Linked DNA regions of Drosophila melanogaster. The protein of the gene in region 3 interacts with the protein of the main gene of each other region in a pairwise test. Each region holds a gene or a part of one and is shown on either strand. Other genes may lie near its edges.

Region 1 (8,417 bases), on a different chromosome or scaffold from region 3:
ACAAATCTTAGCTTCATCTGGCTTATCACAAATTTACGCATTCTTCACCGGTAAATATTTCACGCTTGATAAAATATTTAAAGTTTTAATCAAACCTAACCCAATATGGCATAGTCTTGTTAATATTTGTGCGTAGTATCTTTATTTTCGTAGAGCTTTGTACATTATGCTTTCCACTAAAAAAATAGTTAATAGTAGAATATAGAAAACATTTGTGGAATCCCATATATACATGTGGTTATTGTTGTTTTTTAATTAACCCAAAATGTCAATATCATGTGCTGTTGCTAATCCTCGCATACGTTTTTAGGAGCTGCCTCGAATCTGGTGGGGAATAATGCCAGCAACGATGGAAGAGGCATATCACAAGCTCAGACGTCCGCAGGCACATGCGAGACCAGCTTGAGTACGCAGCCCCCAGCGGGAGCATCACGCACAGGAGCCAACGCGACGTCAACAGCGGCATCGGGAAGCAACAGCAGCATCGCAGGTTCCACCCTAACGCTCTCCGCCCAGTCGAACACAACCACCCACTCGGCGAGCACTCTGCACGGTCTGGATGGCGGCCCGTCGACGGGTGGTTTCAACTCGGAGCCGGCGTCCCTGGACTCGGTGGCCTCCATGGGAATCATCGCCAGCACAAGTGGCACCGAGCGATCACGCGATCTGGCCCTATGTGCTGTGCTCATGGACGAGTGGCTTAAGGAGCTGGCTGCCATTGCGCAGGAGCAGAGCGTTGTGCTGGTCACGGAGCAGGGGTCTTTATGATCGCTTGGAACGGAAAGCTTGTGTATACATATTTTACGGATTTGTTAGCCCTTGTTTGTTTTAACCAGCTACTCTTACGAAATTATTCTTTTTACCTGTTAAATTTTCGATATTTATATTTTAAAAAACAACTTTTAACGAACAATGCAGTTTTGAACAGATTTACAAGTTAATGCACACGGACTCAACTAAAAAAAAAAAAGAGAAACACTCAACGCGTTAAACAAATAGATTTAGGTTAAATGTTTTAAGTGAATCGGGACGGTGGATCTTAAGTGTTCAGATGTAAACAAATATTCTAATTACCAGCCGTACGCAAAATTTACAACGTTTATAGAGAGAATTATATAACACACATACCATGTATACATATGTATTTTTGCAATATATTTTATGCTTTTATGTATGCAAGATCAAATTACACAAGTTATGTAAAGCCAACTTGAAAGTATTAAATTGGTCCAAGTAAATGCACAGCCAAGAAGATTTAGTTATTCTTATTATTAGCTTAGGATTTCAGGTTTAACGTGAGAGCCAATTTTATAACATGGCAACCACCAGAGGAGTCAAAGGGACTCACTGGGTATACCTTCTTCTGGTGCGACACGTAAACGCACAGTTCATTCTGCGCAAGTCAGCTGAAGCTGGAGGAGCTGCCTGCATCGGAAACACAGTTTAGGTTTGAGGGCCATTGGGAGAACTGCCTTTGGGGTGTGGCGGCGAAATACGATGATAATTTAGGCGCTGAAATTTAGCCAAAATGTTTTTAAATAAAAGTGTTTCTTATGAAAACTTCAAGCCAATATATTCAAGATTATACTTATTAAAAGAAGCAGGCAAGATAAATTTCCGTTTAGATCGTTAACGGAAGAGTTTGAATTTGAATATGTACTAAAATAGAAGTTGATCGATTGATCGATTTATGCCCACACTTTAAACCAAACACATTCCACTCCGATATCTTAGTCGAACACAAACAATCGATAGTCGACAGCACTGTGGATGGTTGAACGCATCTCTAGAAATCGGTCGCTTTCAGTCACAAAACTGCGATCGTTGCGATCGTTTGCCGTTCAAAAAACGTAAAAGTGCGCATCGCCGGCTGAATTATTGCGTTGTGTTTATTTTATTGTTAAATATCGCATAAATTATGTTATACTTTTCCCCGCCCTGCACTCGATACATTCGTGTTGGCGACTAATCACACCGCCCGCATTTTCGCAAACTTTTTGTTCTTTAGTTGCGAGTGCCGCTTGAGTGTTTGTTAAGTGCAAGGGGAACACCGGCTGAAACCGCCTTTACGGGATTCTAGCCAACCGAAAATAGTTCGCGAAACGCAGCAGGCGACGCGTCTTTTTGGCTCTCGAAAAGGGCATGAAAACTCGCGAACTGTGGCCAATAAAAGATACATACAGGAAAAAGCGATTGCGCGAATTCTCGGCTGCGTGTGCGCTGCAAATTTGCTCGTGCGGAGCAAAAACAAACGAAAATAGCCGGATGAACAAATACATCCAGTGCGAAGAATAATCTACGCTGTATAAACAATTAGCCGCAAAACAAACGGCGGAATCGAGTGCCCCTGTGTGCCAGTGTATTGTGTGTGTCTGTGTGTATCTGTATCCCTGGAATGCGCAGTCGCGCATGCGCAAATATTTGTGATTTGTTTTGAAAGGAGAGAAGGAGCGAGAAACAGAGATAGATAGAGAAACATAGAGAGAGCGCGCGATCGGATTGGAATAAAAAAAAATAAAAGGTGAGTTTTGCTGTTAGATTGGCAATTGCAGCAACTGCAGTTGCCTTGGCCTAAGTTGCCATTTTCCCTGCCCACGTTTCTCCACACAATTAATGTACAGTGCAAGGAACTATTTGAATAACATACATGATAACTCACTCACAAAAAGTTCAATTCAGGCTCTTCAGCTATTGAAAAAACATTGAATCAATACTTTTTTACGTGTACCAAGCCCACGTCAGTCGACTAAAAATCCATGGGCCTCGGCCCACGGAAAATTAACTCATTGCCCCCTCTTTTCCCTTCGATCCAGAAAATTGCTCTATTCTCCTCGGGAACGCCCACTTTGTCAGCGCTACGCCCACCTTGCCCATTTGTTCTTCTTTTGTCTCTGGTCTTTTGTCTTTTCCCTCCACGGTGCGCAAACGAAGGCGGGTTTTTCCTCCACTTATCGCTCGGCCACTACGGCCATAAAAGTCCGAGTAAAAATCAATTTTCAAAACAAGCAGGACAAAAACAAAGGAACGAGCCAGCGAGGCGGCAAGGGGGCAAGAAAGGGAATATCGGACGACAATAACATCAATTTTGAGGCATTTATATGCGCCAATAAATTCAACAGTTGCTTGCTGGTGTGAGTGAGAAGGAGAGGCAGCAGGAGCGATGGCGATAGTATCGCATCCGAGGAAAGCAACAAATAACAGGCAGAAAGATACACGACAACGCGCAACAATAAGACACAAGATCAAACAAAACCAGCAGCGAAAACCGACCACGCTGCAGCATCGCCGTTGCTTTTGTTGTTGCTGCAGCAGTTGCAATAGCAACAGCAACAACCACGCCGCATGCAACAGGTAAAAGCAGCGACGCCACCGTTTCGAAACGAAATGCCCGCAAGAGCGAAAGAGATGGCGCCGAACAACCTGTTACATCGCCCGCTGCCTGAAATATGTAAAGTCAATTTCGTGTATCGGAAAACTGTAACTAATGCCAGGCAACAGCAGCAGCAGCATTAACCCATTAACGCGAAAGGGAGAAATCGGCCAAGAAATGCAAATGCATTGTCCATGGGTTAAATGGAAAGGCGGGATGGTGTAGTTGGGAAAACTGCTTGGCCACATACCACAAACAATGCAACAGTCAGGCATCGTTTGAATTGGCAAAATGTAAATAGTAATTAATATTAATACAATTATTAACACTATTACTTCTCGGACAAAAAGTATGTTTCCTTAGGGGTCTAAGTTGAATGTTTAATATTACTCATTTCTTTAAGCCTTCATCCGAGTTGGAATCTTTTTGCGGTCATGAGGCTTTTCTAAAGTATCCACAAGAATCTCCTCCTGACTTGGCCCGGCATCTTAATGGGTTAAGATCCGCGCCCGTGGGCAACTGAGGCCAAGTTCGTTGTACGCGGCGGCAAATAAAAGACAGCGCAGTCGAGTAAGAAATTTTTGTCAATGAAAGAAAACTTTCTTTTGGGCTTATCCACGCCAACATCGCCGCCGGTCCTCCGTTCACTCTTTCGTTGTCTGTCCTCCTCGCCGGTGATTTTGTTTTGTGTGTCGCCCTGCTCTTTATATTCCTATAAGCACCCATCCATATACGTATATCTTTCTGTTTAATTGGGCGGTTTCGAGATTTACGCGCGCCTGCCGCCATCTGCAGAATCTCTTTGGAGTATAATGATCTTTTGGATCTCTACGTCTCCGCGGGCTCCTCTTCATGGTCCATTAAGACAATTTAGCCTGGCTTCTCTTTTCCGGGCCTTCGGGACTCGGCCATCGGATGCGTGGGAGTGGCAGGGGCGGCATGGGAGTGACTGATGCGTGGGAAGCCTCGTCTGTTTGTCATCTTGGGGCTGCAGGTTTGATTGCTTGCGAGCCAAGCCAGGGCAGACCAAGCCAAGTCATCCAGCCATCGAGTGTCCAAGTTGGCGCAACAAGTGTCCCAGTTTGTGGAACGGCTAGAAGCCAGCTACTCGAACTAGAACTAGTTTAAGTTTCCTGTCCCGGCAGCCATAGCTGGAATCTCCTCCACATGGTCACATACTTGCATGCTTATAGTGGCGGTGGAAATGCTAGAAGTAGGTTAGTTTAAATGCTTCGCTTTGCGATCTGTGGATAAACACGTCTCACAAAATCGTATATCATACATATATCCCAAAAATTATATAAACGCCAAGATTATTTAATAAGAGATCAGAATATAATATGCTATATAAGACTTATATTATCTTTGAGTGACATTTTTGGTGCTATTCGTTTGAGCGCAACTGTGACTTTTCTTTTAGGCTCGGTCATGTTGACTCTTGCTGCCGTTTCTGCGGTCGCCTGGAGGAAACCCCCTTTTGGCCAACCTACTCCCCTGTTATTAACCGTTTGGCCACATTTTCTCACACAGAGTGCGCAGAAATACTTGGCAGGCCACTCTGGCAATTGGCGCGCCTCTGGAAATGACAAACGGTCATGAGCATGTGGCTCCGGCCCACGAGGAAGCACAAGGGGGCGTCTCGAGCAGCTAGCAGCTCCACTAAATTACGGAAATCTAAAAAAATATTCTAAGCATTCGCCGGGAAAATTGATTTGGAATAACTGTATCAGAATGCTCTAATATAAAAAAACAAGTCTCGTCTCGGGATGCTATAAATTCCAGAAATGATCGAAACGGAACCGGTTGAAATGTATGATAAGTGATCTATAGATCGACATATCATGTTTTGAGCATGTAAATCAGATAAAAAAGACCGCAAATGATAAGTGCAAGTCTTCTTTATGGAACATGATCATTATAGAATTCCTGTAATAAACCAGTAAGTTATAATTAGGTAAAAGATGCAATGATAAGAATTCTAATCTATTTCCTCTACGACCAAAAAAGATATGCCAGATGGGTTCTACACATATCATTGTAATTGGCAATGATCCCATTCGACATAAATGCCGAAGGAATGTAAATGAGACCAGTCGATTGGAACTGCCATGAGATCATCAAATGGCCTCCAATCGCATGGAATCCGCTTTGAGGGGTGCTCCACTTGGGATTCATTAGGAGGCCCCTTCTTTACTTTCAATTCGCTCTGCTTCTGGCCAAAACGTTCTCCTGTTGGCCCAAAACAGCCTCACGTAACTGTAACTGATTTGACCTCCCATCACTTAGCTACCAAAAAAACCTCCTCCAAAAGCGTCGTTTTTTTCCGCCGCTGCTGCCGTTTTGGCATTGTGAATGGTTATGGTTACAGTGGGGATTGCGGATTGGGGCTCGAGATCTGGGCTGGGGGACTGGGGCATCCGTGGTATCAACGGAACCGAGTGGCGGCATTGGGTCTGTTTTGATGCTCGTTTGGCGGAGCGGTGCGACCTCGACAACAAATTTCTATTGCATGCAATTTGGTGAATATCGCATGCACAAATGAACATTAACACTTGGCGGAGACCCAAGAGATGAACAATAATAATAAAAAAAAATACCAAAAAACTTGTTTGCTCAACAGAAAGCAGTGACAACAAACATATTGGTAAATAAATGCAAACCACAGATGACGAATGTGGCATACACTATAATAGGAAGTATTTAGTTAGCCTATTTCGAAAGAAACATCTTGTTTGAAGATAATTTTTAAGTATGGAACTTAAATGCTATGTTACACAAATTAAAGTACATATTGAAGTTACAATATTGTGCAAATGTATAGAGTAGTTTCGTGTGCCCCTCCATTTTCTAGGGTATTAAACATCAAAAACGGCAGCCAGGCGGCAGAGCATCGAGTGAAAAAGTGCGCCTAGAAATTAGAAAGTACGCGGCGGTCTGGAGGAGAGGCTCAATCTGAAGTTGGGGCTGGAGCTGAGGCTGAAGCCAAAGTCAAAGCTATGGTTATAGCTATAGACAAAGTCGAGGCGGTGGGTATGTGAGTGTAACTCGATTTGTGACTGTCATAAATGGCGGAAATTGTGGGGCTCGAGACAAAGCGGGCTTGGGGGACTGGGGACCGAAAGACGGAGGCTTTCTGGCTAGCTTTCTGCTTTCTACTGCCGGCCTGCCGGTCTTCAGCCGCGGCTCTTTCCAACTCCAAGCTCCAAACTGCAGCTCCAACTTCTACTCCAACTCCAACTCCGGCTCCGTTTTTCTTTCTTGCTTGACTATAATTTGTGCCATCAGCATTTTGTTGTCGTTATCGTTAGTAGAGACCAGAAGACTGTGAACTGAGCTGAAGACTGAAGCCAAAAGACAGAAGACAGCAGACAGGCGACGGCAATGAAGCGTACGTTTTGACATTTCCCCAGCTCCGCCGAAGCCTCTCTCTTTTCGCTTGCTCTGGTCTCCATAATTATCGAAGCGGAGAAGAACGCGCTGCCACAATTTGGCCAGATTTTTATTAATTCCCACCTTGCGCCACCACCCTCCCCTTTTGATACCCATTACTCGTAGAGTAAGTAGGAGGCTATTTTAGATTCGATAAAATGTATGTAACAGGTACTTTCACTAGCTGGGTACCGGGTATCCGATAGTCGGTGAACTTGACTATAGCATTCTCTCTTGTTATGACTTATTCAATTCGCCACCAGCCGCAGAACAGCCTTAATATAGCCCCAACCCAATCGACGCTGAACCCAAGAACCGGCTCAAGTTCGCCTCGATCTGCGTTTATTATTACACTTAATGTGACTTGATTTATAAACAAGAGCAGCCTCCAACGGTGGACCAACCGACCAACCGACCAACCGACAAACCACTGGTCACCTCACCTCTTGCCCAGCTGTTGCGAGGAGCAGAAGACAGCAGATCGACATGGCTCAGTGACCAAAAGGAACACTGGGGGAAATTTGATCTGATATTGCAGCTCTTGCGTTTTTTCAATTCTCCGTCTACCAACTGAATTGTTGCCATGTATTTATTGAACTCAGTTGGTTGGTTTTCAATACATAACGTTATAGTTTTTCCCAGTGCACATACCGCACTGGTGTTGGGTTACTCCAAATATTGCCCTTTTCATCGCCGCCCGATAGGAACTGTCTTTTAATTAGTTCATAAATTCAGCGTGGAAAAGCTGAAACGCAGTTTCACCTCCGATGTGTAACACTTCCACTTCCCTTTCCAGTACCTTTCCAGAATCTCTCGCTCTCTTTGGGCTAAGCCCACCAAGTGGCTTCCTTCCTGGTCCCGGGTCTTTCAATAGATCGTTCAATCCGGAAGTTTGTTGCGCTGGCGCAGACAAAAGAAGTGCGGCACTAAGCGGCTTTTGTGCCCAAGAAAGGAAATAGAATTCCTACCGCGCCCCTTCCTTTTCACTCGATCAGTCGAGTGAGAATCTCAGAGTCATTTTAATGGTTTCCGCTTTTTATGGCATTGCCCGGGCCTTATGATTGGTACAAAATTAATAGAAATTTAATTGGAGGGGCCCGTGGGGTCGGGGGAAATTGGTTCTTTAGGCATTTATTGCGCATGCGCGCAGCTTTTCTCGCTGTCGCTAATTGTTATTGCTCTGGGTTTGTCGGACTTCGTAGTTCTTTATGGTTTCTTCACGCTCCGGTCTTTGTTTTTTGTATTATTTTTATGTTTAACTAGACGTGCGGGAGGTTAAAGCGTGCTAATGCTTACATAATGCTTTGTTTTCGGGCCTCTTTATTGTTTCCACACCGCCCTTCTCACGTCCTATTCACCTATTTTCACGTCTTTTGTACGTGAGGTAGGCCCAGTTGGGCGGAAGGGCGAGAAAGTCGAGGACATTTTAGGGCCCTCATAAATTATCATCTCGGGTTTCGTAATCCCATGGCATAGGAATATGATGAATAGTCCCTGTTCCCATTCACAGTTTGATCCAGTTCCTTTCTGTGCCTTTTATGACTGGGAAAAGTTGAAGATGGTACCAGATAACCTTTTATAGGTATAAATCAATGTGTGACTGTGATTTATATTGATT
Region 2 (8,148 bases), on a different chromosome or scaffold from region 3:
GACTTTCGACAGTTGGCGCCGGAAGCTGTTAGGGGAGAAAGTGAGATAGGAAGAGAAAAGAGAGAGAGAGAGAGTGGTTCCGTCAGTTCAGACTAATTCAGTTAAACTGTAATCGGTGTGCATTTGCCTGTTCGTAAAGCACACGCTGCGCTGCGGCTTATCTACGCAGGCAAATGCATTACCTATGAAGCGCATAAATAACACGCATACGCAGCGTGTGTAACGGGGTGGGTAAAAAGAATTTATGACTCGGCATCTGAGGCTGAACCGTGTCGTGTACATCGTGTAAAGCCTAAGTGCGTATCGGCATAATAAAGAATCTCCTTAACATGCAATCGCTGACCATGTGTGCATTTAACACGAATTTACAACGCCAATAATCATAAATTTCGAAATATTCCCCCGGCCACTATCTGCTGTGCGGCAATCAGAGTCTTTCAAACATCCAATTATTTGTGGCCCTCCCTCCTACCCTTCGACAGTGATTATCTTTCACGCTCAGTTGCCGTTTCTAGACCCGCAATCCCACTAATACGAAAACATTCGTGCGGAAGCCAATACTTTCAAGTCGCAATCAAATGCGTTTATCCCCTAAAAAGAAAGCAGCGCTGAGCCTGACGCCCGACTAAGACAGACTCTAAGGCGGGTTTATCTGGGCTGCTGTCAGCTTGCGAGGGTGTTGTCCCGATGCTGTTTCAATTTCGCTTCGATTCGATACTAGCTATCGTTGCCTTTTGGTGAGCTGCCATTGATTTCTTTTTCGTTATTTATTTATTTTGATTGTGGCCTACGAGTGCGTGCGGAATGGGAGCCCATTCGCCAAATGAAATTCCATCAAGTTTCAGCTCGTGAGACTATTTCTGGAAAATCTAATCAACCAGGCTAAGTGAAAGTGCATTCCCGGGAGCTTTGTGGAGTCAGGCGCTTCAGCTGCTGACGAGGTGGTGCATTCGAGCGACATTAAATCACTTATTTACGGGAAATCACCTTGCACATGCTGAATCCGCAAAATTAATTTGAATCTAAATAATGCATCAGCTATGACCGGAGGTCATGCATATATTGCACCATATATTGCAGAGGGTACTCTGTCAGAAGTTTACAACGTAGTAAATTGGAAACATATAAATCATATAACATATAATGTTATGATTATACACATATCGTCCCATGTTCCATTTTCCGTCCATATGAACGCTGTGATCTCGGGATAAAAAAAGCTAGAAAGTTATGATTTAGCCAGCAGGACCATTCCTACTGTCTGAGTAACGGATATCTGATAGTCGAGGAAGTCGACTACAGCGTTCTCTCTTGCTTTAAATACACATATTTGTGTTTATTGCAAGGGTATCTAAGCTTCGACTTATCGGCGCCATCTTCTTTTCAGGTTGTGTATTGCGTTTTATCCGTGGCCTTGCCGATGCCAATCTCTTTTGCCGAGGCATGGGTAATTTTCGGCAAATAGAACTCTTGCCCAGGCTCAAAAGTCTTAACACATGTCTTGGGGAGAATTGGAGTAGAAAAATTGTAACACATGGTTAAGCACATTTAATCGTTGGGGTCTTAACCTTTTAATTTTATCACCCGCTCAACTTAACATATTTAAAAGGGTTAGGTTTTGAAAGATCAACTGTTTTGGCTTAAAGGTAAAATCTGCTCTTTTCTTGACTTATTCATCTTGTCCACTATAAATGCACTTCGCGAGTCAACTAAAAAAAGAGTCCGAAAACGTCAAATAGCTGCTGGCAACAACAAAGAATATGTCAGTCTTTTTTCTAAATCAGGAAACTTTTTCTTTCCTGTATCAAACTTTTGGATAGGTTTTTCACGAGCGAAAGCGGAAAAGTTAAATTTTCCGCTTAGTCCTAGCCGTAGACAAGCCATTTCATTTAAGAGGCCATCCCATGGGATCACTGGGCAGGCAACAGCCATCAACAAGAGAAATGATTAAACTTGACTGACCAGACACGCGCCTTAATGTCGTCAATTGACCTCAATCAATTATACACAATATTTTTTATTTGACCTTCGTTTATTCCATTAGAGTTTTTTTTATTTGTATTAAAATTCGGCGATGTGACTGTAAAACGCATCTGAGGCAGCCATTTGGCCTAGGAATAACATTTTTTCATGATTTAGCGTTGTTGTACGAGCTGAATTTGGTATGTGCTAGATAAAAACCAGCCGTTAAGCAATTTCAAATGTCGGGACACGGGTGAAATAAGCATTTGCCACCCGCAGTCAGTTCCGAGCAGGGGATGTCTTGGATGCCCCGTTGCGAGCAACCGCTTAGCAAAAGGCAAAGCCAGATATTATATGTTATCACCAGCGATGTATTACTGCTTCTACAGCACAGTGACTCAATATACAAATAAAGGTGAGAAAAAAATGCGATTCTCCTTTTTTTGACTTGTGCAAGAGCTTTTGATTTTGGAAACGAAACGTAGCCCAGAGAGACAGGGTATGGCGTTCCGTTGTATTTCGTGTTAGATAAATCATAAAGCAAAAATAATTTAATACACTTGCGTGCCCTGGTTGTAGCTCTGGCGACGAGGCGTATGTGCAATGCGGCGTGTCGGTTAATCATTTGCTTCTTTTATGAGCAGCCAAGCCGAATAATAAGCCTCAAAGAAAAGCGAGCTTAAAGGTGCACCTCAAACTCTGTTAAATTCACGGCCTATCACGACGGCACGACCCAACGCTCAACGCCAACTCATTATTTCCCCTGCAGCTCTAATTAGAGTCAAATATAACTAGGGGGCCTTGAGGACCCCGTACGCTAGCCTTGGCCATATTTAATGCGAGCTGAAAGGTCCGCGAGTTATGCAAATTTGCCCCGCCCACCGAATGCTCCGAACATTGACAAAATTATGCGCAATCGCGGGCCAGTCTCTCGGCTACCAACTTCCGGCGACAAAGTCAAGTCATGGATGGACATCCTGACCTCGCCCGCGGGTCCAGCCATTAGTCGTCATTAAAGATGATTGAATGCGAGCCCCGCTTTTGCATTGTATAAAAGGGGCACACTCCTGGTGACAACAGGGTAGGTAAAGTTGCCTTGGCGTCAGTTGGCAGTTTGGGAAAAGCCTACACACTTAATATTTCGATAGATACACTTATTTCGCAATCGTAGAAGATACCACAAATCTCTCTTCCGTAAATTATAAGTATGTCCAAGAGGGTGAGCATCATGTTGCCCGACGAAATACCTGCGGCTCCGTCAGGCAGCAGGAGGAACCCGATGCCCAGCCGCACACTCAAAAGTTCCATTAAAAGTGGATCAAGCGCTCGGACGCAACCCGCACCGCCAGTGTTCGTGGTTGTCAACCCGGAGAGCAGCCAAAGCTCGCTTACCTCGGGTCAGCGGAACAACACCAGCACGACCAGCAACAGTTCCCTTAACCAACGAAATAAGGAGCACTCCGCGGCGAGGTTGTCAGTAACCGAAGATACGGCAGCCCTGGACAGCAGTGCCTTGCTTCAAGGTGGATCCTCAAACTCTCGTGATACAGTTAACTTCGATTCGACCTCCACCTCGATCAGGATGTTCCTTAAGAACACAGTGGGCCTTGTCAGGGCAGGAGAGTCCTTCACATCTGTAAAACATCTCTTTCACAAGTTCATCAAACGCAGCGGTTCTGTGCCAAATTCCAAGCGTTCGTTGACATCCTCCTGCTCCCAGGCGGTAGATGAGGAAAATCCCTATATGAGCAAGTCCAATGATACGCTTCTGACGGACTCGCCCACCCGCACTACTGTGCCCAGCACCTCCCAGATAACGCCCACCTCACATTTCTCCAACTGCTCATTCAATAACACGAACTACGACCTTTCCAACCTCCTCTCTGACATCACCCCTTTGACTGGCTACACGCCAGTGGGTCTCACTGAGGAGGCTGACTACCGAACAGACACTTCCGCAAACACCGCATTGAACAGTGTGACATGCAATTTGGCGAGCTCGTCGGAGAATCCTTTGGGAAGCGGATTCGACAACAGTCCCTCGAAGATTTCTACCGATCAGGAGAAGATAGCGGACACACAAGGACGTCCTACTTCCAGAAATCGCTTTAGCAGCAAATCTTTTCGCCAGAAACTTAAGACCTCGCGCTCTAGTTCACCCAGAAAGTCGCCCAAGATGTCACCTCGAAATAAGCAGTCAGCACCTGCAATGGAACCCATATTTGCAATGGTTAGTTCATCTGGGCCTAACTCTTCTGAGGGATCACGGCGATCGAGCAAATCGAGCCTGAGGCGGAAGCAAAGTCCATTACCCAACGTAACTGCCAAAATCTCGGCCACCTCTAATTCAAGAGCGGACTTGGCTAAAGCGCCCAAGTCCAGGAAAGAAACCACCGCCCGATCAAACCTATCAAGAAAGAGCTACCGCCGGAGTTCACCCAGAAGCCGAAGTCGAGGTTCTCGGGCAAACGCCTTAGAGAGCCCCCTTCAAAAGAGCGAGGACACCCCCGACAATGTAGAGTACGCCTTCGCTCTGGTCAGCCCTGAGGAGGCGGGGAACAGTCAGCCTGAAGAAAGTAGTGCCGGTGTCGAGGATGCCTCCTCCAAGTGCGAGACATACCAAAAGGATTGCAATTGCCACCATTGCCAGGACATGCGTCGGGCGGTCAAGAGGTCCGACTTTTTCAAATCTCCCGAGGGACAGAAGCGGCTAGAGGCGAAGCTACTGGCCAAGAACTTCTTCATGGACCTATGCGTAGCGTCAGAAGTGCGCCGACAGGCTCAGTCCGATCTGCATGGAAAACGACGTCCTCCATCAGCGCGTCTCAGTTACCCGGTGAGCATCTGTGGAGCGTGCAGGCTGAGCGGAGGCTCGCTGTCGTTGCATTGGATCACCCATGACCTTGACAGCGTAGACCACTTCGACGTTTTTGTGGACAACGTGCCAAACCGTAGTGTCTACAACCGGCAGGCCACCTCCACCGTGCTCGTCGACGTGAACACCACCGAGACGCACACGCTGCGCCTACGAGCGGTGCCGGAGCGTGGGAGCCGTGGTCAGGATTCCTCGGTGGACAAATTCATGTCGGAGGTGGCGGCCGGGCATATGCGTCACGTCAGGCAGGGCCAGCTCTTCGCCACGTGCTTCGCGCACCTGGACGCCCGGCCGCAACAGCGTTCACTGGTGGATTTCTGGACGGACAGCGAGTTCTTGTACATGCCCACCCGCGAAACTCTTACGCCTTCAAAGGCTCGCTGACTGGCGAAAATAAACTGATTTATGAGCAGCAGTCCGTTTTGGGAGTGGATATGCGGCAGGAACAGCTGCGTGGGTGAAAATTGATTAGGCTAATTTAGAAGTGATGACCAATCGGCGCACTAAACTCTCAGTGCAAAAGCAGTGGCCCGGCTCCCACCTGCACCACGTTTTGCGAGATATTCAAAACGAATCGTGGGCCTGGTGCGGCCATCAGTCAACGAGACATGGGCGCTAAGCATCCCGCGCGTCTTTATCAGTGGCTTGCAGGCAGGCTGGCTTGGCGTGGGGGGACTGGTACTGACGAAGGCGTTTCGCGCTGATCTGTCAGAGATTTTGGGCCGCAAAGTGGCATGATTAATTATTTGGCAAATATTTGGATTCCGCGCTCTCAGCTCAGCTGGCTTCACCATGGAAATAAGGAAAACCAAAAATATGCGGACTGGCACTTTCATAGAGGAAAGAACGGGCGAGAAACCCAAACCGTTCAGTATTTTAATTAATTTTCACTTTCGTTGGGGACTAGTGAGCATTCCATCGACAATGTGATGGACAGCTGTGGCAGCAGTGCCAACAGTGCTCCCTCGAGAATCAGAATCTCCCGTCCACGATTCACTGGGCGCGTTCTGATTGAAGCGTTTTGCATTTACTTTGTTTTGGTTTCCCTTGGCGCGTGATTGGTTCCGAAATAAACAGGGGCCTACTTTTATTATTTGGATAATTTTCAATTATCGCTGTTATTTCCCGAAGTCAGCAGTTCATGCTTTCAGCCCTCTCTAGATATATCAATACGTATTTATACGTACATATCTACATGTTGCCACGCGGCGAAAACACAGTTTTTATGGTCGCATCTCGCGGCCACTTTCAATTACTTTTTATTATCAGGTCCACGTTCCCCCCTCAACGCATTTTTATGTGCTGGAAGCAGTTGGCTAAATATTTTAATTGATTTCATGTGGTCCACGCCAGCCATTTGGCCAGGACTCAGCCCGATCAGAATGCAGTGTTTTGTAAATATTTGCTTTCTCGCCCAGACATCCATGTCCGTGCCCCGAGTTGTTTACGGTATACTGTTTATGGGAAATTGCGTTGCTTAATGTCAGATCTTCTAATGGCCATGATGACGGTAGCGATCATTGCTCAGATGCGGAATCTTACTTAATCATCTTCAGTGTTTTCCTTACATATTCGGCAGTATCTATGAGTATTTATGTGTACTTTGACAAGACGTTTTGGCTGTTAGAATATGAATTCTTAATTATTGGACTGGGCAAGGTCTAGTAGCTAACTGCAGCAGAAAGTGTCAATTGCGATCAGGTAATTTTTACTATAAAAGTCTCACGGGTTATTCAAGTTGGATGCGAGCATGTCTTTCTATTCTATCAAGATCATAGTAGCACCTAAGTTTATACAAAATATGTATATCAATTTGTATTACGATTTCGGTCGAGTACTTTAGAGTGTTTTATCTAATATAAACATGTAGCTTTCATTTTTATTTCCCCCCCATTCAAAAGCTGTTTTGTCATTTGAGCAGTTAGACAGCCGGTTGCGGTTTGTGGCTTAGCCTAAGTCACTTAGCTTAAGTCACTTTTGATCAGCCCAAAATAAATTAAATTCCAACAGAAGAGAAAAAATGCCGGCTAGTAAGTTTCGGCGAAGCAACCACATTTAGCTACACGTGATGGAAATAAAGCTATTCCACACAATGGGGCACCCTTGGTCTCCTCGGAAACATCGAATTTAAATTAGAACCGTTATGCAAATTAATCATTTGTTGCCTTACTTAATTTTTTCATTTTCCTTGGAATCGCATTATTTGCTAACTAAATTGGAGCATGCGAATCGCACAATGTTGGTCCGAAAGAGGTGGGACCAATGCGTGAGACACAAAAAAGAATGAAAGATACACGATACAAAGGTCTTTCTTGAACCGCTTCTCGGGATTATTTATGGCGAGCTGTTGTCCGTGTCCAGGCAGGTCCAGCAGGATTGAAAAAGTAAGAACTGAGAACGATTTTATGATAAACGAGTCCAGTCAAACTCCCGGCACAGGAGGCCGAATGAATGAAACCAAGAGAAGGACAACTGGCTTGTTAGTCCACATCGGGTACGGGTACTTAAGCTGGAATGAGAAACTCTGCTTTCCGACCAGGTTCACCTGCCCTGGGCAAATACAAGATGGGACCATGGCCCATCTGTATTCTGAGGAGCAACTTTTCTTGTTTGACTAACCTTCACCGTGTCGTCAATCAAAAATTTATTATCACTCGACCTTAACTAGTTGATTCCGATGTGACAACACTAGCAAATGCATGAGTGAATTAGGGCCTTCAATAAATCATTCGGCCATTCCAGATTCATTCAAATTTACAGCATTAGTAGCCCATTCAAACAATCACAGTCGATGATTGCGCGGCCGTCAGATATCATTTATCAAGCGTCAAAGCGTGCATATTATCGCTCAGAGGATAAAAGGCAGCAAATGAGTTATGTCTTCTTAGAAGACAGGTGAGTCCTGCCTCCTGGACAAAACTCGAGCGGCTTGGCAGACAGTGCACGCGTGAGAGCCTCAACCTTCATTGAGCATGTGTCGGGTGTCAGGAATTGACGGCTCGTCAGATTGAATCGTGCGCGTCGCTTCCTACGCTTATCTGCTTCGCTTATTTAATATCCTGATTATGCCTTGTCTTGCTCCCATCGACACAGCTGACTGGAGCGGTAATTGAATTCCATTCTGCGTCAGCAGGCTGCATCCAAATGACACTCGAAGACAGGACTCGAGCAGCTGTCATAGTCTTGCACCCGTAAGATATCCTTGCGAACAGTAACCAGGAAACCAGAAGGCGTCGACGGCGTCGTACCACAAAGCATATCAACTAATTAAGAGTCCGAGCTTCCTGGGCAAGAGGTGAGCCCAGCTAATG
Region 3 (8,438 bases):
AAAGCCACCGCCCGGCGGAAGGCCCATGCCATGATGGTGACGGTACGGCCGATGGTGTGGTGCTCCGTGGTAGCTCCTCTTGTGCCGCATCGGGCCCAGGTGGTCGTGATTTGATCCTCTGCCTCCGCCACGACCTCCCCCTCCATGGCCACGCGAGGATAGACTCCTGGGCGGCTTGTAGATCACGTGTATACCTTTTTCTCGCATAACTCGAGCCGTCTCCTTGGATTTCTTGAGTATGGGAGTGAGTTCGATTTGTTCATCCTCGGGAAAGAGACGACACAGCTCGCCGCCAATCTTGGGCTCAATCTCCTGGCCATCGCGACCGATCTTCACCGGCTTGCCCTCGTTCCAGGTGTTGTGCAGGTGCAGGGTGGCGTTGAAAGACAATTCCTTGCGGCAGATCCAGTCAAGCTCGATGACGCCGCCCAGTGCCTTGGGCGAAATACTAGGCGGCAATACCCAGGCCACCTGAGGAATGTCCCGCCGTGAGGGGGCTGCCATCCGGGCGAATCCTGCAAATTTACCTAAAAGCAAAATCGGATTATAATAGAGGTTTTGAAGACATAGACATTGTATGTATCTTATTCTTAAGAAACTAAGAAAGTATAAGAAATGAGAAACATTGTTTACTCCTTGAACCTACCACTCTCGTTGACCGAGAAAATGAGCAGGACGTTTCTGGCCTCCTTGAAAGCCTGGTTAAGATTGGCGTCGTTCTGCGGCAGCGTGGCCCACACACTCTTGTTCTTAGACAGCTGGACGTTGTCGCTATTGTTCGACTTGATGAGGAAGAACCGTGTGTCTCGGAATAGGTAGTTCAGCTTGGTCATGTAGTCGTAGCCCTTCTGCGAATGTGAGTGCGTACCGCCACCGACAGAATCTTTTTCCGGCGTGGAGCTCTTGGAACTGGGTTTGCCCCGGCCGTTGCCGCCACCATTTCCTCCGTTTCTCTTGTGCTGAGTGCCCGAATCCGAGTCAGAGGACTCGCTGTCGGACTCCAAAGTTGGAAGGCTTGGTTTCTCGTCCTCAGCCTCGCTGAGATCGCTCTTGTGGCCAGCAGAATCGTTGGCATTGGAGGGTATCTTGGTGCGCGACTTCTTGGCGGACGGCTGTCGATCCTCGGTATCCGGGGATTTGGATTTGACCTTATCCGACGCCTCAGATGAGGTTGTTTTCTTCGTCCCGCTATCCGTGCGCTTCTTTTTCTTCCCACCATTTAGCTCCTCGGGAGTGGGTTCCCGTTTGGCTTTGTTCTTGGCGGAAGATTTGGAGGATTTGGTCTCGACAGCGGGTTGAGGGCTTTGCTTGGCAGGCTTCTTGGTTTTCCGCTTGCTACTGCCCGCCAGGGAAGATGTGGCAGTGCTGACGGAGCTGATGCTCGGCTCCGAGTCGGATGAGTCTCCACCATTCGATTCGGAAGCCTCACTCCTTGTGTTGAACTCAAAGTCTTGCAGCTCCTCGGCAATGTCCGCCTCGTTCTCGTCGAGGCCCAGGTGCACTGCATCCAAGTCCGCCATCTCGCGCATCGGCAGCGTTTGTTTACCTGCTCCGAAATCGGAAATCGGAGTACCAGATGAATGGAGCACCCACGCACACGCACACACGCAAACCAAGAAAAATATATAGAGAAAAAAGCCGATCGATCGGCAAGGTAAGAAAAGGTCAGGGAAATACAGGTATTCCCAAACTCACGGGCTGCTCTTGGCATTAATTGTGTGGACACCGGTCTAGCGCCACTTTTTGTTCACTTTTAACGCAATATATCCCTTTAATATCGCGAAATTACGCCAATTTTACAATGCTTACACACAAATTCTGCGTCACAGCGGCGACGAATTGGCGATGGCGTCAGAAGAGTGCGGCTATATGTCTGCAGGCCGCGACTATCGGACCACTATCGATAGGCGGATGCAGCTGAAAAAGGTAGCTAGAAATAGCTGAAAATGCACTGCAATCGGTTATGTTATCGTTCCTAACGAAGCGAGGTAAACAAAATGCACCACAATCAGTCGGATTTCCCGACTTTTCCGCTTTCCTTGCTGGACGACAGCGATCTAGAGCCACAGAGATGTTATATACCCGCGTGGGAGAACTCTACTGGAACTGGATGGTACCGTTGTCACCTTTGCGATGGCAGCTACGCAGTTTGTTGGGTAACTCCGCGTGCAGGCAGTGAAACTTGTTGCTTCCTTGATGGAATTGTAACCTCCTTGACGCGGTTCTCCCCCACCAATCAGCGGTTGGTGCTTCTGGAGCCACTTAAATTAGTTCCCTGCGTGAAGAGGATTTCATGCGTGATTACAGTCACCCAGGAGCTCCTTCAGCGACCTCCGGTTTCCCTGGAGGATCTGAAGGACGATGTGCGAATCTTCCTGCGCCACCTGAAGCTTACCAAAGGATGCTCCGTGCAGCACAGACGCCTTGTGCAGCTGGGCATTGCCAGTGTGGAGATATTCGATGCTCCAGGAGTTGCTGATGACGAGTGTTTTGAAATAGCCCACGATGCTGAGCTACTCCTGGCGGACATACGCCTGGGAATGCCCTTTTCTTTAGATTTTATCTTCAAGTATTTGCCACACAGCTTCGAGCGACCCATGGAGCAGTTGGAGAAGCTCCTGGAAACCTCTAAAATCAGCTTTTCGCATAGATTTCCTACTACAGCATTGGTTGTGGGTCCGGTGGACTGTGGAAAAAGTGGTCTACTCAGTGAGTTCCTGCGTCGTCATAGCTGCAACTGTTTTTACATTACAGCCAGCCAGGTGCTGCGCTCATATCCCGGCGAAACCGAAGAGGAGTTGAGGAGGATCTTTCAGGCTGCTCAGACTTTCAAGGAGAAACTACGTCCATTATGTAATTTTCACAGTGTTTGTTTTACGTTTGAAATATTAATTAGTTTTATATTTATAGTGCCAATTGTAATCCTCATTGAGGATCTGGAGCTGCTCTGCCCCTCAACGGCTGTCGCAGATGCAAAAAACTCTAGCAATAGCCTACGAATTTCAGCTGAGCTCTACAAACTGCTAGACGCACTTCCTCGAGGCATCATATGTCTGGCAACTTCTGGTGTCCCGGACTCCTTGCATGAACATGCGCGCAGGCGGTTCGTCCGAGAGGTGACCATTAATATGCCCAGCGAAGGGCAGCGCAGACAACTCGTAGAGCATCTCTGCGAAGTACACGAGCTGAATATCTCACAGACTTTACTCGAGCATATAGCGAGAAACACTCAGGGATATGTGATAGCGGATTTAACACTACTCCTGCGCCGCGTTCAACAGCAACTCTTAACAAAAGACGACTTCGACATAGAGCACATTTTCCTCAAATCCCTGTCACAAACTCAACCGAGTGCATCTCGATCCACAGATGTGCGGGTCTCGAAGATGACGGCTGGGTTTGAGGTTATCGGAGGCATGGAAGCACTGAAACGTACCTTGCAAGTCTCCGTTCTAGCGGGTATAAGACAAAGTGCCGCTTTTGCTCGATTCGGACTAAGTTTGCCCAAAGGAGTGCTGCTCTATGGACCTCCAGGATGTGCCAAGACCACCGTAGCCAAGTGCCTGGCCAAGGAAGCTGACATGACCTTCATTGCTACGTCGGCGGCGGAGGTGTACTCTCCCTACGTCGGTTGCGCGGAAAGATTTATATCGCGAATCTTTGACACAGCGCGAAAAAATGCACCCTGTCTTATATTTCTAGATGAGATAGGTGAGTCGGATAAGCTTAATTTGCCATAAAAATGATTAATCCACTTAATTTTATAGATTCGCTTGTTGGCAGAAGGACGGTCTCAAGTGGCGGAGGTGGTGGACAAGTTCAGCTGAGGATTCTCTCCACGCTGTTGACCGAAATGAATGGCATTGTGGGGGGTGGTAGTCAGCAACATATACTTGTCGTTGCAGCCACCAATCGACCGGATATGATCGATGATGCCCTACTGCGACCAGGACGCTTTGACAAGCTTATCCATGTACCAGCCCCAGATGAGAAATCCCGCCTGGCTCTGCTAAAACTCCACTCCCAGCGCATGCCTTTCCATGAAAATGTGTTTCTCCAGGAGATTGCTGCCCGAACAGACCGGTATTCTGGAGCGGATCTGTGTAATCTCTGCAATGAGGCGGCTATCGAGGCTTTTCAACGTGACTTTAAGGCCACGGAAATTGAGCTACAAGACTTTGAAAAAGTTCTGACCAAGCAGAAATCCTCGCTCACTCAAAGCCAAATAGATGGCTACTATAAGTTTGCTTATAGGTTCTTATAGAACAAGATGTATGTGCAGTTGCATTTGTTAGTTTTGCATAAATAAATGTATTTTAAGATGTTAAATCGTAGAATTCTTTGCTCAAATTCAAACTACTGATTTACGATATGTACTCCCGCGACCACGATTACCAATCGATAGAATAGTCGCAGTCAGCTGTTGCAACGATAACTGATTGCGGCAAAACAAAGAAAACGCAGAGAAAAAGTTAACGCAATTAAACGTAGTAAAAAAGCCTAGACTATTTTCATAACAAGAAGCAGTGAGTCACAAAAAAAAGCTTTCCGGCCACAATGGCAGATACCCGTAAAGACGCCGCGCCGCCGAGCTACGAAGAAGTCATGAACAGTCCCTCGCAGGGTAAGTAATAGGCTCACTAAAGGCATCCAATTCAATGCACATCTTTTTTAGATTCCCGGCTGATAGTGGGCGTGCATCAGGGAGCACCTAGTGCTCCGCCACCAAACATGCACATGCCAACCTACGGAGCTTTCGAGACGACGCCGGTCAGCGTGGTGATTCAGCCTGCTCCGGTCGCTATGCCCACCGAGATCATCGTGATTGGAGGATGCCCTGCATGTCGGATTGGATACCTGGAGGACACCTTCTCCGCCTGCGGACTGTGCTGCGCAATCTTCTTCTTCCCGCTGGGAATTCTCTGTTGCTTGGCCATGCGTGAGAAGCGCTGTTCCAACTGCGGAACGGTTTTCTAGAGGGGATTACCCAGAAATTATCCATAAAGAAACGCTAAAAGTTGATCCCTATTAGGCTTTCGCGGTGGGTGACTATCACAAAGCACCAATATTTTTGTTATTGTTAATCGTTAGCTCGCAAATCATTATATACTATGTGTAAATATTATTCATGCCAGCCTGCGGAATGCCCCCGATTCCATTCCAGTCCCTGTCCGGAGAATGGTCATGTACAGTGAAATATGCTAAACTCGAATTCAAATCAGTAAGCCCAGTTATGAAAAAAATGCTAAAAAAAATCAGTTGAACATGTTTTCCAATTGAATAGTGATTTGGCTTTTTACAAGGATTTTAAGTAACATAAGTTTTAAACTGCAAACAAAAGAAAAAATATTTATATATTTAAATAAAAGGTTTACAACATGTTTATTATATCTTAGAGTAATGGTACGCAGATATAATGACTTGGACGGTTTTAGATATGAACTAGGTTGTACAAAACTTCATTAGTTCTTGATTTGTGAATAATTTGACCCACTGTTGCATTTCGTGATTATAGAACTTTTACTGTACTTGTAAAATGTGCACTGTAAGCGTCGACGAGGCGCGCTTCCGTTAAATTCAATTGAAATATAATGGAGGGCGGTTTTGAATTGCGCCGCCCGTCCGATTTCTCTTCTCCATGCTCTTTGGACTTTACCGCGCAAAACAGTAAACAAGTGAAGTGTTTTAAATGAATTTGGGAATGACATAAATATACCCTTCAAATGCATCAGGAGATTAAAAGAAAAACCCTTCAAAACGCCATATTTTAGATATTTGAATTTTTGAATATATATAGATTACTTGATTTTCAAAATTTTTATAAAACCAAATGTATGAGCCGCTGATATACCCCCTTATCAGATTTCATGGGCACAGGGTAGCACAACAAATTCGCCGGCATCCACATCCGCCGTGTCGGCATCTTCGAGTCAACAGTTGTGAGCTTCCTTCGCCGTAGACATGATCACTGCTCGTCTCCTGCTCTCGCTGATGATGCCAGTGCTGCTGGACGCAGCTGCTCCGCCACGACGGCCGAATGTGGTGATGGTGATCTTTGATGATCTGCGTCCAGTTATTGGAGCTTATGGCGATACGCTGGCCAGCACGCCGTATTTGGATAACTTTGCTAGAGGAAGTCACATCTTTACAAGAGTTTACAGCCAGGTGGGCAGCCTGTGATCATTGATGTGCGGACCTAATAAAACACATATATATTGAATCTTTAGCAATCCCTGTGTGCACCCAGCCGGAATTCGCTGCTCACGGGTCGAAGACCGGATACTCTGCATCTGTACGATTTCTACAGTTACTGGCGCACTTTCACCGGAAATTTCACCACTTTGCCGCAGTACTTCAAGGAGCACGGATATTACACCTATAGCTGTGGAAAGGTCTTCCATCCTGGCCTCTCATCCAACAACACGGATGACTATCCCCTTAGTTGGTCGGCTCCAGCATTTCGTCCCCGAACCGAGCAGTTTATGAACTCGCCAGTGTGTCCCGATAAGGAGGGCATTCTGCGGAAGAATCTCATCTGTCCAGTGGAGCTACAAACTCAGCCGTACAAAACGCTGCCGGACATCGAGTCCGTGGCGGAGGCATTGCGCTTTGTGGGCTCACGGAGCAGGCACAGCCAGGAACCATTTTTTCTGGCCATGGGCTTCCACAAGCCGCACATTAATTTCCGGTTCCCACGGCAATTCCTTTCGAGATTCAACCTTTCCCAGTTTTACAATTACACGGAGGATAGCCTGAAGCCGCCGGATATGCCGGCAGTGGCCTGGAATCCTTACACAGATGTGCGGGCCAGGGATGACTTCAAGCACTCCAACATATCCTTTCCCTACGGACCGATATCCCCACTCCAGGCTGCTCAGATACGACAGAGCTACTACGCCTCGGTGTCCTATGTGGATGATCTGTTTGGCAAGTTGATTGGGGGATTGGATCTGGATGAGACGGTGGTGGTCGCTCTGGGGGATCATGGCTGGTCTCTGGGTGAGCACGCCGAGTGGGCCAAGTACAGCAACTTCGAGGTGGCGCTCAGGGTTCCACTGATCATAAGAAGTCCACAGTTCCCTGTCGCCCAAACGAAGTACTATCACGGGATCACAGAACTCCTTGATGTTTTCCCCACTTTGGTGGATCTGGCAGGATTACCCAAATTGGACAAATGCCAGAGCTCTCAGGAGTTGACCTGTGGCGAGGGAAAAAGTCTTTACCATCAGCTGATGGGATTGGGAAGGGGTAAGTTGCTTTGTATGTGATATATAATGTATTTAATGCAATCACTTCCAGCGGATGAGCACGTGGCTCTCAGTCAGTACCCAAGACCAGGAATGCTGCCCACAAAGCACCCGAACAGCGACAAGCCGAAGTTAAGGAATATAAAAATCATGGGCTATAGTCTCAGAACCGATATATATAGGTATACCATGTGGGTGAGGTTCCATGCGCAAAACTTTAGCAGAGGTAAGAGAATATCAATAGATTCAATTAATAACCATATTAATTATATATTAAATATAACTCCCTTCAGATTGGCACGATGTGTATGGCGAGGAGTTGTACGACCACCGCCTGGATTCGGGCGAGGAATTGAACCTGATGCCCCTGCCGCAGTTCGATGATGTGCGTCAGCGCCTTCGCCGGCGATTGATGGAGATGGTGGGCAGCTAGTGGAGATCGGCTGTCCCTTCCCCTTCGAATCCCTCTGATTTTGAATGAATTCATAAGCAATAAAGGCAGCGCGACAAACGATCTCGAGACGGCGAAATATCTTGTCGCCATAATTGGAATTTAATACTTCCGGTTGGGCAACAACGTTTGCAAGCCGCGAGACGCCCAGACATGCTGCATATTTTTCGCTGTAATTTCTGCGATGCCCCCGCCTTGGGGACCGCCTCACCCCCAAATCCCCCCGAGCCGCCCAACCAATCTATATATGCACAATATACAATCCGATCCACTGCGAGCCGCGCATGCGTGACTGGTGTCCATTGCCTTTTTGGCTTCGTTTTTGTGGATTTTTGTGAATGAAATGAATGAAATTTCATTCAACGTTGGCGGCGCGCGTCTCGCTGCGTTGGCGTCGGCAGCGCCGTCGACGCCCAAATCGGGAGAGGATGGGGAGAGGAGAGGGGGCTACGTTGGCGACTCTTTTTCGAGCTTTCATTTTCTCTTCGGTTTGTTGCCATGCCAGTGAAAAGCAGAGCACAGAAAGAAATTCTCTTGCAAACTATTTACTGTCTTTACCAAATTTACAGATACATCTACAGGTACAGATGAAAGGCTTGCTGAGATAGATAGCATGGTAAGATACTTCTTGTTATATGCACTTTTTAAAAAGCGCCTAGAAGCAGGCAAGAAATAATTGCATTCTTGTTACTTGTTAAAAAGACAGAAATAGCACATCGTAACCACTGGTTTTTTCCTGT
Region 4 (7,563 bases), on a different chromosome or scaffold from region 3:
TTCCACGTACGTATGTTGCCTATAAATAGTTAGTTTAGTTAACAAATCGCTGGAGCCGAGTACCATGCACAAAACTGATCTATTTCCGCACATCCAGTTCGATCGAATGGAAAATGGCATCCGGAAAAGCGAGCCGTGAAAAGTAATTGACAAACATTCGGAGGCGTCGACACATTTATGCACTCCTCATTTGCGCCGAGAGCTTCCGGTTTTCCAACTGCCACTCCGGTACTTGCGGCTCGTCGTCGATTTCTCTTGGTCTGGGATCGGAATCGAGGAATAGAGGTATAGGGTATCGCAATTGAAATCGGGACTTCATAAACACAGTGGCATGTTGTCAACTGCAGTGCCAACCCGTTGACACCTCGTAAAAAGTGAAATGTGTGTTCACTGTGTTTATGCATTAAAGTTTTATGCTTACTTTTGCTTCAAAAAACATTACGATGAAGAACTGTTCAAAGTGAGCAACGTTTTGGTTATCCCCCAATCCCAAAATGTAATAACTAAACCATTTCTATTTTTGTCTTCTTTAGTTTAGTTATCTTTATTAACGTTTTGTTCAAAGTAATGAAATAAACGAGTATAAATGTAACATCCCAGTGTATGTATGTATGTATAATGATGTTTTAGAATGTAGAAAATAATAAGACGGGAATTTCTAAAAGAACTGGGTCTGTGGCATGATTGACTTTCGTCCATCATTCGACTCTGGCCGTCGTTACATCTTAGAGTCTCCAGGCGGCGACAAGACCGCTGATCAGCAGCGTCATGGAGATGATCAACTGGGCACCGCTGTCGCGTGCCAGCGGAATGTTGGTATCATTGGCCAGCAGAAAGTTGCAGCCGCGTCCCTCGCACGTATAACAGTTGCCATCCTTGACGCACTGCTTCCTGGCATTCGCCGAGGTGAGACAGCCGCGCTGGAAGGATCCGTCCACGGTGCGATTGCTATTGCGAATGTAGCACTTGTCGCCGAACTTGTACAGCGGGCAGATCTTGGCCGATACATAGGTCTCTGTGGCGCAGGACGACGAGGTCGAGTTCCCTGTGCACTGTAGGCACATGAGGCGGCTCAACGGGAAGGTGTTTCGATTGCATCCCTCGCTGTAGGTGCACAGCTGGCACAGTAGCTCGTTGTTGCACGAATTACGCGTGGCGTTGTCCAGATCGACGGCACAGCCGCGAATTGTGTAGCCATCTGCGAAAGATACCATTAGATGGTGCAGCCAGGGTAATCAATGCGATAACATACCCAGGACGCGGGAATAGCAGTTGGAGGATCCATCGGAACAGTTGCGATTGAGCAGGCTCAATGGATCTGTGGCGCAGCGTTCGTTGTCCTTCGAATTGCACTGGATGCATCCATCTGCAAATTGAGCGAGTGGAACGGAGCGTTTCGATTGAGTCATGCCTGATTAGATTAGATCAAGTTTTTCGTAATCGTTGCGTTGGCATAATGACATCATATTGATTTCGTGCAAAGTCTGCCTACCTACCACAGTGCATATGTGTTTGAATGTGTTTGATTATTTCTTTTTATGTATCTACCTGCATGCCTTATTACAATGACGCGCACTGTACTCGGATGGCAATTGTCTCGATTTTCCACAATCGATTCTTACGAACATGCCCATGACAAGTGAATCAGCAAACTTGTATGTTTTTGATAAGAAGAGTCAATTTACATTGGCTATAAATCGAAAGCTTGCAAGCAAATTATATTTAGCATATCAGGTGGCAGTAAATATTAAATATTTACCAAGTGTTTACATGAAAGTACGAATGTACGAGATTATGTTTCAACTTTAATAATGAAACGGAATAACTATGTACTTCATCACAAAGAGAAATTAAATTACCGCTGACATACAGCTGTGTTCATAAAAATAGCAGTGCTTGAGTTTAAAATAAAAAAATCTTAAGATTTCAAGTTTTAATGGGAAAATTTTTTTTATAATATCATTAGGTATTTAATTTTAAACAATTCAACAAATGTTTCACATTCATTTTTTTAATAGTTTCGAAAATATAGATTAAAACAAGCAGAAATAGCAGTGCTATGAAAAAATAGTAACAAAATTCAACTTGACTTAGAACGAACTTATTCTTAGCCGATTTGCTTCTGCGTTTCTTTATTTTTTATTTTTTTAATTTATTGCCCTTTTAAATATACAAATTCAAATTCAAATTCAAACTCACTTTTTAGAAAATATTGATCATTTCGGGAGTTTACGTTGGTCAAAACCAGACACTGCTATTCTGTTGAACAGCCTAAAAGTTGTGATTTTGCTCAAGAATGTAAATAAAAAAAAGGATAGCATAGAAAACTAACGACATTTTCTTTTTTTCCCTATCTACACATTCCAATTCACAAAAATAAGTGGAATAAAAATTCGATCCCGAAACATGAAAAAAAAACCGTCGCATTTCTTAGTTTCTCTTGCACTGCTATTTTTTTGAACACAGCTGTATGTACACATGGTTTAAATATATGGCGTACAATTTTCACATCTTTTTGCTGGCTCACTCACACTTAGAAAAAAAAGAATATGTTTGCCCAGTTACAAAGCTAAGAACCTTTAAAAGTTTCTTTGGAAACTCGCCTATTGATAGCTTATCATGAATTTATTTCCGTGTCCATGATATCACCGCTTATCACACCTTATATAAAACACTCAATAAGTTTTTCAATTCAAAGAGCAAAAAGAAAATTAAAAAAAAAAAAATACGATCCCGATGAAAATTAAAAGTGAAACTTATTTTGGAACAACATTTAGGCAGGTACAACATTTACCACAACTGATGTAGGCCAAAAACGAGAGGGCTGCAATCACCAACAGGTAAAACTTCATGGCTGATAACTGATGTAACTAATTTCACGACGATCGAATGTTGCGACTGGTTACGGAGCTGAACCAGAACTAAGGGAGTAGAAAAGGTTCAATGAGTGATTTGAGTTTTGCCGAGCTTTATACCCTATTCATATATACCTACAGCTTTACGATAAGGCACCACGACAACAGTAATTCTATTGGTGAGTTGAGAAAAAAAAGTGTTTTGAAATGATTCACGACGCTAAAGTTGTCGCTCTTTGGCATACATTCATTTTCATAAATTATGTTCAGCGGGTTAGTCAGCGCACTTGCGAAACTTCCAGATGTTTTAAAAATATATCTTTAATGTTTGCAAAATCGTAATAAATTTCATTTTCAAGTGCTAGCTAATCGCATTAAAATTTCAATTCAAATGCTAGCGCGCATTTGAATGCGTTCCACACTTATCGATAACACGTCGATAAGTACTCCTTGCCAGAGTTTTTAATTAATATAGTTTAGCAAAATATCATTTTGTTTCTATTTAAATTTAAATTGGTTCATACTCACCAATTTATTGTAAAGGAAGTCGAAACTTTTAAGCTGATTAATTTCACCTTTTACATCCGAGAATTAAAAAAAAATACAGGGAAATATTTTGAACCGACGTTTTGTTATTCTGAGTGAAACTTAAAACGGTCACACTTTGCTGGCAGACAAAAATATTCACTTTTTATATCTAAACAAAACAAAGTTATTTACGAAAAAAGCGAGATATAAACGGCAATGAGCGCCACGACTAGAACACCTGCCACACCGGGGACACCTGGCACTCCCGGCAGCCTGGCCATGGAAGTGGCCCGCGTCCAGAATTCAGCACTCGCCGAGTTTAAAAAGCCCACGGCGATGGTGCGCCACAAGAACAAGCCAAAGATCCTTACCGAGGAGAAGTACATCGAGGAGATGTCTAAGATCATCCAGCGCGACTTCTTTCCCGATCTGGAGCGGCTGCGTGCCCAAAACGACTACCTGGACGCGGAGTCACGGCGCGACTTTGTACAAATGGCCGAGATTCGGGAGCGCTACAGTCTGGGCAGGATTTCCGGGACAGGAAGAAGCACCAGCCGACGGAATAATGGTGGGTATTGTACTCAATTGGATGAACACCACTGGCACATCGCTGTCTGCTACTATCTTACTTGAAATCAAGTCTGATGAAATTATACATTGGCCAAGTTCAATAGATAGACCCATTAACTTTTTGAATTCCTTCATTTCAGCCATGTCCCCGGCCACATTTGAGACACCAGTGAGTCAGGCGAAATGTAGCAACACCCCATTGCCAAATTCCCGGGCCACAGACACACCATTTTCCACGGACGGCTCCGAGAAGAGCGATGCCGAGGGCAGGGACACCACCGCGAAGCTATCGCTGGACGCCTTTCTGCAGAAGTACACCAGCGAGGATAACCAGAGCTTTCAGGAGATCATCGAAACGGCCGAGGCCAAGCTGCGCCAAAAATACGCAGTACTGTACAACCATGAGAAGCTCTCCGCAGAGCAACTGCAGCGGGCCCTAATGCTGCCCAGCATAGAAACGCAATTCGAGGAGCCAGATCCGCTGAGAAAGATCGAAACCTGGAACTACACCAACATGAATTCCATTATGTACGTGCCCGATGGCGTGGAGTACACAGAGGAGGAGCGCGTCCAGTTGGCCGAACGGAAGCAGAGCATCCAACACAATGCCACCAGGCTGCCCGATGAGGCAAAGCATCGCGAAATGGACACTAAAAAGCTGAATGATGAAGTGCCCCAAAATGGGGCTGGTGGTGCCACAGCTACTCCGAAGGTACGCGGCTTCGATTTGTTGCGTTCACCATCACCGCGACCCGGAGAGGCTTTCTCGCCCATAATGACCTGGGGTGAGATCGATGGCACTCCCTTTCGCCTGGACGGAGGCGATACCCCATTGCGGCCCACACAAGGACCCTCGTTCCGGATTAATGAGAACTCTCGGCGCGAAAACATCGCCATCGCTTTGGCCGAAAGGGTCAGCGAAAGGATGCGAAATCAAAAACAAATGGCTCTGGATACGGCGCGTCGTAACATTGGCTCACCACTGATACGCACCAATATGGAACGGCTGGCCAGCATGTCGCCGGCAGCGCAGCTACTGGCCACGGGTAAGCTGGGTATCCGCGGCACGCCCCGATTAAGGCACACACCATCGCCGATGAGCGGCAGAAAACGAAAGGTTACGCCCGGCGTGGTGAGGAGCACCAATACGCCAATACTGGGTGAACCCAAACCCAAACAGCAGGCCAAGATTAGCACTCCGGCTAAGAACGTTACCATTGATACGGGATCCACGCTCACGGACGATCTGCTCAAGATACCCACTAAACGACGCACTGCAGCCGATTTCTTTTAGTACATAACATTACCCATAACCCAGCTACATTATTCATGTTTAATTTCATTAGAGAATACTATACATAGTCCCACAGTGTTGTTACGAATTGTATATTTCTTATAAATAGATGCCGAGTTGTTGGAAAGAAGATTTAAGAATGCGTAAATCATAAACATCATACACATATCTTATCAGCTTTGAAGTTCATTAAGATGTATTGGGTGTTGTAGCAAAAACACTTGCGCACATTTTTAGTTTCATTTTAATGTTTCAATACGAAAAACCCCATTACCACAGATAGCAACATACTGATTAACTAGCTAGAACTGCTCATCCCTGTAATCCACATGATCGCCGGACTTGAACTTGAATGCTTCCAGGACTTTGATGAATCGCTCCGTCGTTTGGGCGGGAGTCAGCATGGTCTTGGACTCCCTTTGCTCTCGAAACATGGCGACCACGGCGGGATCGTGGGCCTCTCGCTGAACCTGGACGGTCATCTGTGTGTCTATGACGCCGGGCGCGTAGTTCAACACCAGGGTGTCCTCGGCGGACTCCTCGGTGGCCAGCACTCGGAAGTACATCTCACGGGCTGCCTTCACCGTGCAATAGTGTGCCATCGAGGATATAGGTGCAATGGCTGCCAAGGTGCTGAGATTAACCACCAACTTTGGGATTCCCTTGAAGACGCGCATAAACTCGCAGTTTAGCGAAATGGCCGAGAAGACATTGGAGTGGTAGTAGCGCTGTAGGAAGTCGGTATCTCCGATTTCTTTGGCCCTCTTTGACGTATCGCCCACTGTGCCGGCATTATGAATGACTATGGCTCGCTCGAAATTGTTCTTTCCACCGGATGCCTCCAGAATCTTGGTAAAGTCCTCCGTTTTGGCCGTTTCCAGCTCCAGCGAATAGGTTTGCACGGATAGATCTGGCACTGTGGCGACAATCTCTGCCTTAGACTCCTGCAAAAGGGTTTGATTGCGTCCCAGAAGCGTCACCATGGAACCCTCGGCTTTGATCCGTTTGGCTAACTGCTGGGCGAACTCACGGCCAATTCCACGTGATGCACCGGTCACCAGGAGATATGTGCGCTGTTTCAGGTCCATGATTGCGTGAAAAACACGGACTATATTACTTTCTAATTTCCACACCGCTGAAGTGGCAACAGTTGGCTGTCTTTTTGCCTTAACTCGCTTTGGCTTTTACCTGATTCTCCGGCAGCTTTTGCACAGCTGACTAAAGCTTGGTGCTTTTATTTTTATGACCAGGAGCGTAAGCAAAACTACTTTCTAAAAGGGGGTAATATAAGTAGTGTAGTTTTTGATACCCATTAAATAGTATCATAGTAAACTTTTAGCGATGACCAGGTTATTCATTTCGTTTATTCATTTAAAGGTATTAGTATTTGTAGAAACAATTAATTATTATTTTTGGAAATTTTAGCCCCCCAATATACCCGCCCATGTCTCCCGCTCTCCCCGCTTTTTGTGCTCTCGATTCGCACATTTCTCTCACGGTTTAAGCTTCACTCGATGCGAAAGGTTATCGCCGGCTCTTGCTTAACGATTTAATTTAATTAATTGCCTATGTTTTATTAACCGCTACTATATAATACTACACTATATATCAAAACTTATGGTCCTTTTGGAAAGAACCCAACTAATATATTATATATATAATGTGTGATCGAATGTCAATGTCAAGGTCAGCATCTTAAAGAGTTAACTCGAGTAATCTTCTCTCGAAAGCTCTGCAACTTTGTTATAAAGTTCAAGCTCGCAAATTGTCATTAAATTTATATTGATTTTTCTTACAAAATTTGAATTAGCATTTGCGCTCAGTGTAGCGGCGGCCACCACCTCCGCCACAAGAGGGAGTGAGATGGGCGGTCGAAAATGGCGTCTGTTGGCCATTGGAGCCCGGAATGTGGGACCAGCGGAGATGGAGATCCGGGGAAGCCGAGAAAACTGGACCGATCAAAGTGAAACAGCCCGATTAACCGGGTGCGTCTGCTTTTCATCAGCCACGGCCATTCCAATTAGTGGGTACATACATATGTATACATATAGATGGTATATCTACAATATATAGCATGTAGTAGTATATGTTACCTGGCACACGGGGTCTCCAAGTGAATCGATTTGTTTACCCTCCCCCCTACTCTCCTCTTCCATATAAATCTACGCATCCAGTTGCGTCCTGGATTTATGGAACAACTGCTTGTTAATGTTTTCCCTGATTTTCGTTTGCCGCACTACTGTTTACAATTATTTTGAGTTAATTTTTTTTCCCCTTTTTTTTGGCATTTTCAGAAGCATTTCGATCGCAGCAGAT

The links.
Region 1: the proteins of CG12010 (region 3) and Ccdc85 interact in a two-hybrid assay, tested with the Drosophila melanogaster proteins (one large-scale study listed by BioGRID).
Region 2: the proteins of CG12010 (region 3) and CG7856 interact in a two-hybrid assay, tested with the Drosophila melanogaster proteins (one large-scale study listed by BioGRID).
Region 4: the proteins of CG12010 (region 3) and Es2 interact in a two-hybrid assay, tested with the Drosophila melanogaster proteins (one large-scale study listed by BioGRID).

Annotation. Positions count from the first base shown.
Region 1 is NT_033779.5:2,997,481-3,005,897, forward strand, and holds the start of Ccdc85 (Ccdc85), read left to right. Parts: upstream 1-1,805; 5' UTR 1,806-2,521; intron 2,522-8,417. Other genes in the region: CG3558 (uncharacterized protein), read left to right, coding at 12-50, 311-768.
Region 2 is NT_033778.4:6,054,457-6,062,604, reverse strand, and holds CG7856 (uncharacterized protein), read left to right. Parts: upstream 1-3,046; 5' UTR 3,047-3,169; coding exon 3,170-5,221; 3' UTR 5,222-5,248; downstream 5,249-8,148.
Region 3 is NT_037436.4:3,372,324-3,380,761, forward strand, and holds CG12010 (uncharacterized protein), read left to right. Parts: upstream 1-1,958; 5' UTR 1,959-1,997; coding exon 1,998-2,853; intron 2,854-2,910; coding exon 2,911-3,711; intron 3,712-3,767; coding exon 3,768-4,264; 3' UTR 4,265-4,326; downstream 4,327-8,438. Other genes in the region: Ythdc1 (YTH domain containing 1), read right to left, coding at 1-527, 647-1,546, 1,696-1,711; CG12012 (uncharacterized protein), read left to right, coding at 4,558-4,624, 4,676-4,977; Ids (iduronate 2-sulfatase), read left to right, coding at 5,962-6,165, 6,228-7,248, 7,300-7,473, 7,541-7,680.
Region 4 is NC_004354.4:8,457,972-8,465,534, forward strand, and holds Es2 (Es2), read left to right. Parts: upstream 1-3,507; 5' UTR 3,508-3,599; coding exon 3,600-3,951; intron 3,952-4,093; coding exon 4,094-5,247; 3' UTR 5,248-5,378; downstream 5,379-7,563. Other genes in the region: CG15347 (uncharacterized protein), read right to left, coding at 726-1,198, 1,253-1,411, 2,795-2,852; Sptr (sepiapterin reductase), read right to left, coding at 5,550-6,335.